Yarrowia lipolytica: one gene and its partner. Each later gene encodes a partner of the first gene's protein in a complex. Links are inferred from orthologs where the notes say so. Each region holds a gene or a part of one and is shown on either strand. Other genes may lie near its edges.

Evidence for each region.
Region 2: the proteins of YALI1_E11370g (region 1) and YALI1_F30703g are in contact, whole or in part, in a crystal structure (PDB 4N0H), measured with the Saccharomyces cerevisiae proteins. The link is inferred for Yarrowia lipolytica from reciprocal best matches to the Saccharomyces cerevisiae genes PET112 and HER2. Residues at the interface, in NP_009473.2 of Saccharomyces cerevisiae: Tyr66, Ile69, Ala70, Leu71, Pro72, Gly73, Thr74, Gln75, Pro76, Val77, Arg105, His107, Phe109, Tyr110, Gly111, Pro114, Gln115, Gly116, Tyr117, Tyr123, Leu177, Asp297, Arg299, Tyr300, Met301, Pro302, Pro304, Glu305, Pro307; in NP_014021.1 of Saccharomyces cerevisiae: Val56, Leu69, Phe72, Pro75, Phe76, Arg176, Phe177, Gly178, Val179, Ile180, Gln184, Ser185, Met211, Lys212, Asp213, Pro214, Thr215, Ala291, Glu292, Ser295, Asn296, Ser298, Arg299, Tyr300, Arg304, Tyr305, Leu319, Phe320, Arg324, Asn339.

The regions. Positions count from the first base shown.
Region 1 is NC_090774.1:1,135,452-1,139,561, reverse strand, and holds YALI1_E11370g (uncharacterized protein), read right to left. Parts: upstream 2,549-4,110; coding exon 782-2,548; downstream 1-781. Other genes in the region: YALI1_E11402g (uncharacterized protein), read left to right, coding at 1-643; YALI1_E11351g (uncharacterized protein), read left to right, coding at 3,741-4,014. UniProt on the Saccharomyces cerevisiae protein: Allows the formation of correctly charged Gln-tRNA(Gln) through the transamidation of misacylated Glu-tRNA(Gln) in the mitochondria. The reaction takes place in the presence of glutamine and ATP through an activated gamma-phospho-Glu-tRNA(Gln).
Region 2 is NC_090775.1:3,068,348-3,072,566, forward strand, and holds YALI1_F30703g (uncharacterized protein), read right to left. Parts: upstream 2,010-4,219; coding exon 600-2,009; downstream 1-599. Other genes in the region: YALI1_F30647g (uncharacterized protein), read left to right, coding at 1-429.

The DNA of each region.
Region 1 (4,110 bases):
GAAGGAGAACGAGCCTGATTTCTTCGTTTCCAACCTTCACAAGTGGGGATACGTTCCACGAGGTGCTGCTGTGCTTGTAGTTGCAAAGAAGCATCACAACAAGATCCACACTTTGCCCGTTAGTCACACTTATCTTGATGATGAGTTCGAGGCAGCTTCTGAACTGGACAAGAGCCGCCGTCTGGTCGACAGATTCACTTTTGTTGGTACCACTGACTTCTCCACTCACCTCTCTACTCCTGCTGCTGTCAAGTTTAGAGAACAGATTGGCGGCGAAGAGGCGATCCGAAATTACTGCTTCGAGCTGGCTAAGAAGGTGGGAACTTTTGCTGCCGACTTCTTCGGAACTGAAGTCCTAGAAAACGCCGCTGGAACACTCACAACCGCCATGGTCAACATCAGACTGCCCGTGAGCGAAAAGTGGCTCAATGAGGCATCTGCTGAAGATAAGGAGCATCTGCTCCAAGTGATCAACACCTACCCTCTAGAGAACTTTGACACTTTTGTGCCTCCGGTTTTCCACAACGGCAAGCTGTACATTCGACTTTCTTGTCAGGTCTATAACGAGTTGTCGGACTATAAGGTCGGTGTTCAGTCTGTCAAAGAGGCCCTTAAGCAAGTCCCTGGCGTTCTCGCTGAGTGAGCTCTATAGATCGAGCCGACCTATCTATAGCCGTCTTCTCATACACGTGCACATTGTCTGATTCAATTCAGTAAATCTATTATTATTCTATCGTAATTACAGGGATATTGTACACCCACAGGAGATGAGCTAAACAGTCTACATGTGTCGCATCTCAGTTTTCAGTTGACGCTCGATTACGGCGGGGTTGATCCGGCCCTGAGTAGCCTTCATGACCATACCAATCAGGAACTTGATGGAACCCGGCTTGGAGCCGTCCTTAACAGACTTCACAACAGACTCATGCTCGTTGATTACCTGTCTGCAGGCATCCACCACATCTCCAGACTCACCAAGCTCGAATTCCGTGATGGCTTGTTCGATAGTCATGTTCTTGAGATCCTCGGGGTTAGCCAGGAAGTGCTGGAACAGAAGGCGGGCCGAGGGAAGCGTCAGCTGGTGGTTGTGAACGGCCAAAATGAGCTCAGCCAGTTTTGCAGGAGGGTAGATGGAGTTGTAGTCATGAGCACCGAGATCAGGCTCCCCAGACTCGGCAGACTCGGCAGCACGAGCCTCATCGGCCTTTCGAACTCGTCCAAGAAGCTCGTTAACCACCCAGTTGACAGGCTGCTTGAGAGCCTTGGCATCCTCAGTCTCCTCGCTCACTCGCTCAAAGACCTCAAAGTAGTAGTCAGACAGGCCAGCCACGTGAATCAGCGTAAGGGCGTCCTTGGTGGTCACGTAGTAGGGATCATCTGTCAGTCTAGAGAAGACCTTGTCAGGCAGCTCGGGGAGACTGTCTCTAACCTTCAACAAAGTACCCTTACTGAGTCGGATCAGCGGCAGTTCGGGGTCAGGCATGTATCTGTAATCGACAGCGTTCTCCTTGGATCGAAGAATGAATGTCTTCTTGCCATCGAAACCCATGGTCGACTTCTCCACAGTTCCTCCCTTGCCTACCAGTTCTACTTGTCGGTTGTACTCGGCCTCAATGGCGGCTTCGATGGAAGAGGTGTTGGGCAGGTTTTTGATCTCGCACCGCTCTCCGTCTTCTCCAATGGACACGTTGACATCCACTCTCATGGCACCTGACTCAAATTCTCCAGTGGACACACCAATGCGTTTTAGCAGGGTCTGGAGCTTTTTGACAAAGGCAGCGGCATGCGAGGCGGTATGAATGACGGGCGCTGTGACAATTTCGATAAGAGGCATGTTAGTTCGGTTGAGATCCACCAGGGTCTCTGATCCGTGGTAAGTGGACTTTCCAGTATCCTGCTCAAGCTGAATCTGAAGAATAGGAACGTCGATAGATCGAGATGCCAGATCGCGTGTGTCTGCTGAGTCAGTGTTGGCCTCCTTAGCGAGTAGGGCAGGCCATTCATTCTGACTGTACAGATCCCACCAATTGAGCTTCAGCTTTCCGTTGATGGCGAGCGGCTTTCGATGTTGAGTGATCTGGTAGCCTGCGGGCTGGTCCGGGTAGAAGTAATGCTTTCGGTCGAAGGCAGTGAGCTCCTTGACATCACATCTCAGAGCAATGGCCGCCTTGAGCGCCAGAAGCAGAGCCTGGGGATTCAATCGCGGCTGTGTTCCGGGAAGAGCTGCGTCGAAGTAGCTGACTTTTGTGTTGGGCGTGGTTGACAACGAAGGTACTGTGGTGGAAGAAAACAGTTTTCGTTTGGTGAGCAGCTGTGTGTGGATCTCGAGGCCGACAACCAGCTTGGGAGCAGTCGAGGTGGCGTAGGTACGGGATTTAGTCACGTGAGTGACACGCGCGACGATTTTGGTGTCACGTGATATTCGGAGCATGTCTTTTTTTCGGGCTGATGATCGACCGCTGTGGGGTGGTGGTGGTGATTGTGGGAACGTTGTGATTGAGTTGCTCACCCAAGGTTGAAGGTGTAAATTAGGTGCAGCTCCCTGCATGATGTTGCGATTGGGGGAAATGGCAGAGTTGATAAAATGTGTCCTGGATGTGACTATCGGTGAGAGGGTAATTAATATTGTTTTATTGAGTATGGAGAGGTAGAAGGAGACGGTTGTGAGTGAATTGCAGTTATTCTCCGCGTGTTTAAGAGTGTCGTAGAGAGTTGAGCAATGATTGTTGTTCAGTTAGTTGAAAGAGAAGTGTATATTTGTTAAAGATATCGGAGAGACATACAGATAGTTGAAATAAACCAGTTGAACAAAAGATTCTAGTAAACAATCATGTCAACGGATATCTTACCCCTGTCACTATATTGCAACTTCTCTTGATCCTGTTTCACTCTATATGACTAATACTTGCCTACAGTGTGTCCAGTCTCACCAAGGCTGCAATACCCACCATACCACGTCTACTATATGCCGCACAGTCTATAATAGCAATCTGAATGAATACTTAGCAGCATCGGGAATCTGATCCGTAGTTCAATGTCTATAAGTATTCGGAAATGGCAAGTACATGCTACTTTATGCCGACACTGATATTGATTCGACCCATAGTATAGCCAGTAGAGGTCTCAGAAAGACTTGGAAAATGTCAGGGAGTTTCTGAAGAGCTATATGATGTCCTATTAGTTGTATAAATTGATTCGAATAGTTTCAATTCCTTCTGACAAACACTAGATAGGTGTATTTGTTGGACATTAGCAGCAGCATGTACATAGTAGACCAACTTCTCTATTGCTAAGAGATCTTGCACCTTACTGAATTACCTATAATTTTTCACCTCAGATGAATCTGAATGTATAGAGCTATTTGCTCAACTCTGCGACACTCTTCCTCCTTCGTGTCGTGTGGGACGGGCGATACTCGACCGCCCCCATTGAACTCAAGATGAGAAACGAGATAACCAGATGAAGACATACACACTCCCAAATACAAGGGCTTGGGTGACCCTGAAACTGTTTCAAACCAATCTATACACTATCTGACACTCTCCAACATCCAAACTCCGCACTCATCTCATCTCAAGCAGCTACTTTATGCCGTCAAGGTGAGCAGGTCGTATCGCTTTAATCGATACAAGACAGTCGCTATGACTCTAAGGAATGTCCAAATTTTCCCAGGCCCTATATAAACCACCCCCAGACCCTCTTTACTCTCCATCAAACAAGTATTCTTCACACCCACTACAATGCAGATCAAGAACCTCGCCCTCCTCTCCATGGCCGCTCTTGCCGTCGCCGCCCCCATGAACGACCAGGCTGAATCCCCCGAGGACATCCACCAGTTCAAGGATAAGATCCACTCCAAGAAGTGCCCCCAGAAGGAGTGCCCCAAGTCCACCACTATTATCACCACCCACTACACCACCATCACCGGTACCATCGCCATCGATGCCAAGCCCTGTGCTCCTACTCCTACCCAGAAGAAGCACTGCCCCAAGTGCGGTGACCCCAACTGTGGTGGTTGCTAATGGGTTTCCGATCATCTACAATCGAACCCCAGGGATCCTCTAGAGTATTATCAGTACTATGTAGACGTTTTATAACTCTCTCAAAACA
Region 2 (4,219 bases), on another chromosome or scaffold:
GTCGAAGTGGCTGAACCCGTTGTCGCTAAACCTGCTGTGGTCGAGCGTGCTGTTCCCGACCCTGTTGTCACAGAGGTGACCGAGACGGCAACTATTGGAACCGAGCCCGCCATCAACGGACACGCCAATGGAACTGTCGTTGAGGAAGAGAACGTGGAGGCTGAAGTCCAGGTTGCACCTCCTGTGGAAGCTTCTCCTTCTCCCCCTCCCACTCCTGATCCTCCTCTCATTGTAGACACCAAGAAGGCTCAGGATGTGGTTGACTTCCTTGCTGGTAACACTGGCGAGCTCACTATCGAGGAGCTTGAGCAGGTCTATGCCGCCATCATTGACATTATATGGGCACACCGAGCATCCTGGGACCGAAATGTCATAATCAACGCCATCACTGCCCAGCTGGACGAGATCGTCAATGCTTTCCACGAATAAACAAATAGACCTATATTAATTAATGACTACAGTATGAAATTGTTAAATTATCGATGACTGTGTCACTTATCACGTAATGACCGCTGTGCGTGCTTTTACTGAGGCACCTCCACCACCCGTGTTGTCAGTTCTGAGTCTATTACCATGTAGTCAATCTATATATACATCCACTAATCCTGGTGGAGCTCCTTGCACTTGTCCAGGAGCAGTCGACCGACCTTCATAACGCCCAAATCATCACCGTACTGTCCCATGATCTGCATGCCTACGTTGCCCTGCTTGGTCTTCCAGGGAATGTTGAGGGAAGGAATACCGGTCAGGGAAGCAGGGACGGTGAGTACATCGTTGAGGTAGGTATCAACGGGAGCAGAGTCGTTGAGCTTAGAAAGAGGGTAAGGCGCACAGTTAGAAGTGGGAGCAATGATGAAATCCACACCGGGCTCATCGTTGGCCTTTTGACCCTCGTTACCAGAAAGCACGTTGGGTCGGTTGAAGACCTCGTCGAAATCCTCCTGTAGAATTCGTCGAATCTTTTGCGACCGAATATAGTCGTGGTTGAAGGCGTCTGTCGACAGGTTCCATGTTCCAAGCCACATTCGCCGCTTGACTTCGTTTCCAAAGTACTCCTGTCGAGTAGGAGCGTACAGGGTACCATGTTCCCCTCGGTCCTCGGGAGCTCGAGATCCATATCTGATACCGTCGAATCGTGCGAAGTTCGATGAAGCCTCTGCTGGTGCGATAGCGTAGTAGGCAGGAAGGGCGTTTTTGATGGCAGGAATCGAACATGTGACTACTTCGTGGCCCATCTTGATGAGCTCGTCCATGATCTGTGACCACGCCATTTTGACATTCTCGGAGATGCCCTTAATGTTGTATTCCTTGACGAGACCAAACGTGAGCTTTCTGTGGGGCTTGGGAGGCTTGAGCTTGGCTCTCTTATGGGGTGTGAGACTGGTGGGGTCCAAGGGATCGTACTTGTTGAGGATGTTGAACACCTTTTCGAGCAGATCGATGTCCTTGGTGAGAATTCCAACTGTGTCGAGAGACTGGGCATACGCAATGACTCCGTGTCGCGAGATAAGTCCGTACGAGGGCTTGAGGCCAATGACGGAGCACTGAGCGGCCGGGTATCGCACGCTTCCTCCGGTGTCTGTTCCAAGAGCAAAATGGCACATGTCTGCAGCCACAGCGGCAGCTGAGCCTCCGGAAGAACCACCGGGAGTGTGAGGTTCATCGGGGTACAGGGGGTTGAAGACAGGTCCAAACCATGAGTTTGCATTGTCTGAGCCCATACCAAACTCGTCGAGATTGGCCTTTCCAACAATGGAAACGCCCTCTTGTTTCAGCAGGTCGACAACGGTGGCATCGAAGGGGGATGTGAACGTTTCCAGAATGCCAGATGCACAAGTGGTGTGCATTTCGTTGGTGCAAATATTGTCCTTGACTGCCAGTGCAATTCCTGCCAGGGCTCCCGATTGAGCCACCTGGGGGTTCTCGGCGGTAGAGATCAGAGCATTGCTGTAGGGATTACTCTTGATGATGTTTTCCATACATTTTTGGACGGTCAGTCGTGCACTCATGGCTGGTATGGTGAGGTCGCTCAAACTGTTGATTTGACTTGCTGCTTGTATGCAGATGTTCAGACATGCTTGTGCTAACGGAGTTTATTTGAGACTTCGTAGGTGGGCGATGTAGTTCTTAGGAGTACAAGTAGCTTACTGGATGGCTAAGAGGTGGGTTTAAATAAGAAACTGTTAAATCTAGCACGTACTTATTCATCATTTACCCAGCAGTAGATTGCTTGTATCGTTGTTCCAACAGTACGTATGTCTTGGCCAGTTCAAACTTGATGTGAATTTTGAGAAGCTAGGACTTGATTAGGTGAGCATTTGGACGCTCTCGTGAATCAGTGACAAACCCAGAAGTATACTTGAGTGACACTTGATTTGCTTGTGAGTGGGATCTATTGAATTCGTGGTGTGCTACGATACAATGGACGAAGCACATTCGTACATTAGTAAGCCAATCCAGAAAGACATGATTGGAGAGTAAGAGGGTGTGAAGATCGTACAACACGTAGAGGGATTTATGGGTATATTTGTTGTAATACCCTAAAGATGGTACACAGACTATGGTAGACTGCGCTAACAGGAGCTACAAGTGCTGTACGAGTACATACACGGTGCCCCAAGACTTATAGCCATGGAACATCGAAATGGACTCAATGACGGAAGCAAGAGACATGAATGACTATTTGGGTGATAACAGTTTACGTCACATTGGTATAGAGCAACCCTATAGCCCCTAAAAATCGTCGCAACACCCATTCAAACCCATGTCCAGCTCAACGACCGAACAAGGGCCGAGTGTGGACGTCGAGAGACACACAAACGCCACAGACTATACCACAAGGACGAACTTTCTGTCAATCAGCACAGTACTTGTGTCTACAGTAGGTTAATGGATCCATCTAACCTGCGTCTGTGCTGTCCAAGTCACGTTGACCTACCACTACTTGTAGCTAAGTACGTATGACAGCAGGGGTAGAAGCTAGCGGAGGTTTTTCGGCATCTTTTGTTGTAACATGTCGTTTGTTTCTGGATGTGGCAAGTGGGTCTTTCCCTGGATCTCGTACCAGCTCGCTAGATTTGAATCATTGGTTCCGGCATATATTCGGAACATATTTTGAAGCTCATACGTTGTACTGCGCTTTCGGCCCCCTACCTCGGCCTCCATATCGTGCATGACGTCAGAGATTATGTAGGGAGATGCGGATGTGGACCAATGGGGGTCCAGAAGACGAGTACATTACGAGAGGTGGAGGAACTCACAAGAGACACGCGGAAACAAGGAACCTCAGGGTCCACACATCGAGACGTTCACTCGAGTGCTAAATGTGTAATATGAGTGAGACAATCGTGACAGATGGTACTAAAGACCATAACAGGCGATGAATGACTCACCACGATAATGAAGAGACACCACAACCAACTGCGATACACATGAGACGCATTGCCAGAGCGCGATAATGCCACCCACAGCCAATGTGTCCCTTTCTACCGCCCAATTACACTCCTCTCACCCGCACATTACCCCTTTGTGTCTCGTCATTTTTGGCCCCAAGAGGTAAAGGATAAGATTGAGTCATTGGGCACTGCACCAGGGGTGTACAATTAGTCACATGCAGTTTAATGTGTGGGGAATTATGTTTCAACAAAGAGCAAAGTGGAGGGGCAAAAAGCACTTTTGTTGGCGCAACTTTGGAAAATCTACTCTCCTTTTCCACGTCACAGAACTCGTGTTGTATCCCACCAAATTTGCCACTGTATCAGCTGAATAGAGGCTGCCGGATTAATTATGCCCAGTGTGGTCCCAGTTACCCTCTCCTATTGGCCGAGGTTCGGTAGGTTGCACCTTATTTACATTATACTTTAGGGTTTGATTCTTTGTGCATAGACTGTCAGCTCGACACGCAAAAAAGTATAAAAAAAGGGCCATCGTAACGTATATATACCAAAGAAGATCCTGCCAAGTTTCTGACCATTAACCACCTTCATCCCGCGCTCTCACCCTAGTCTTCAAGCTACGAACAGCTGACTATCTTCAACACACTTCCACACCAATTCAACATGGCTTTTATTCCCCTCGAGATCCCTTCCAAGTCTGCCTCTTCTCAGTCTCTTGATGAGCTGAAGAAGGGCTCTACCTCCCCCACCGACGCCCAGGCCACCTATCTGTACGGCCCTGGTGGCAAGGACAAGACCCCCAACCCCGAGAACGATAACCTGAC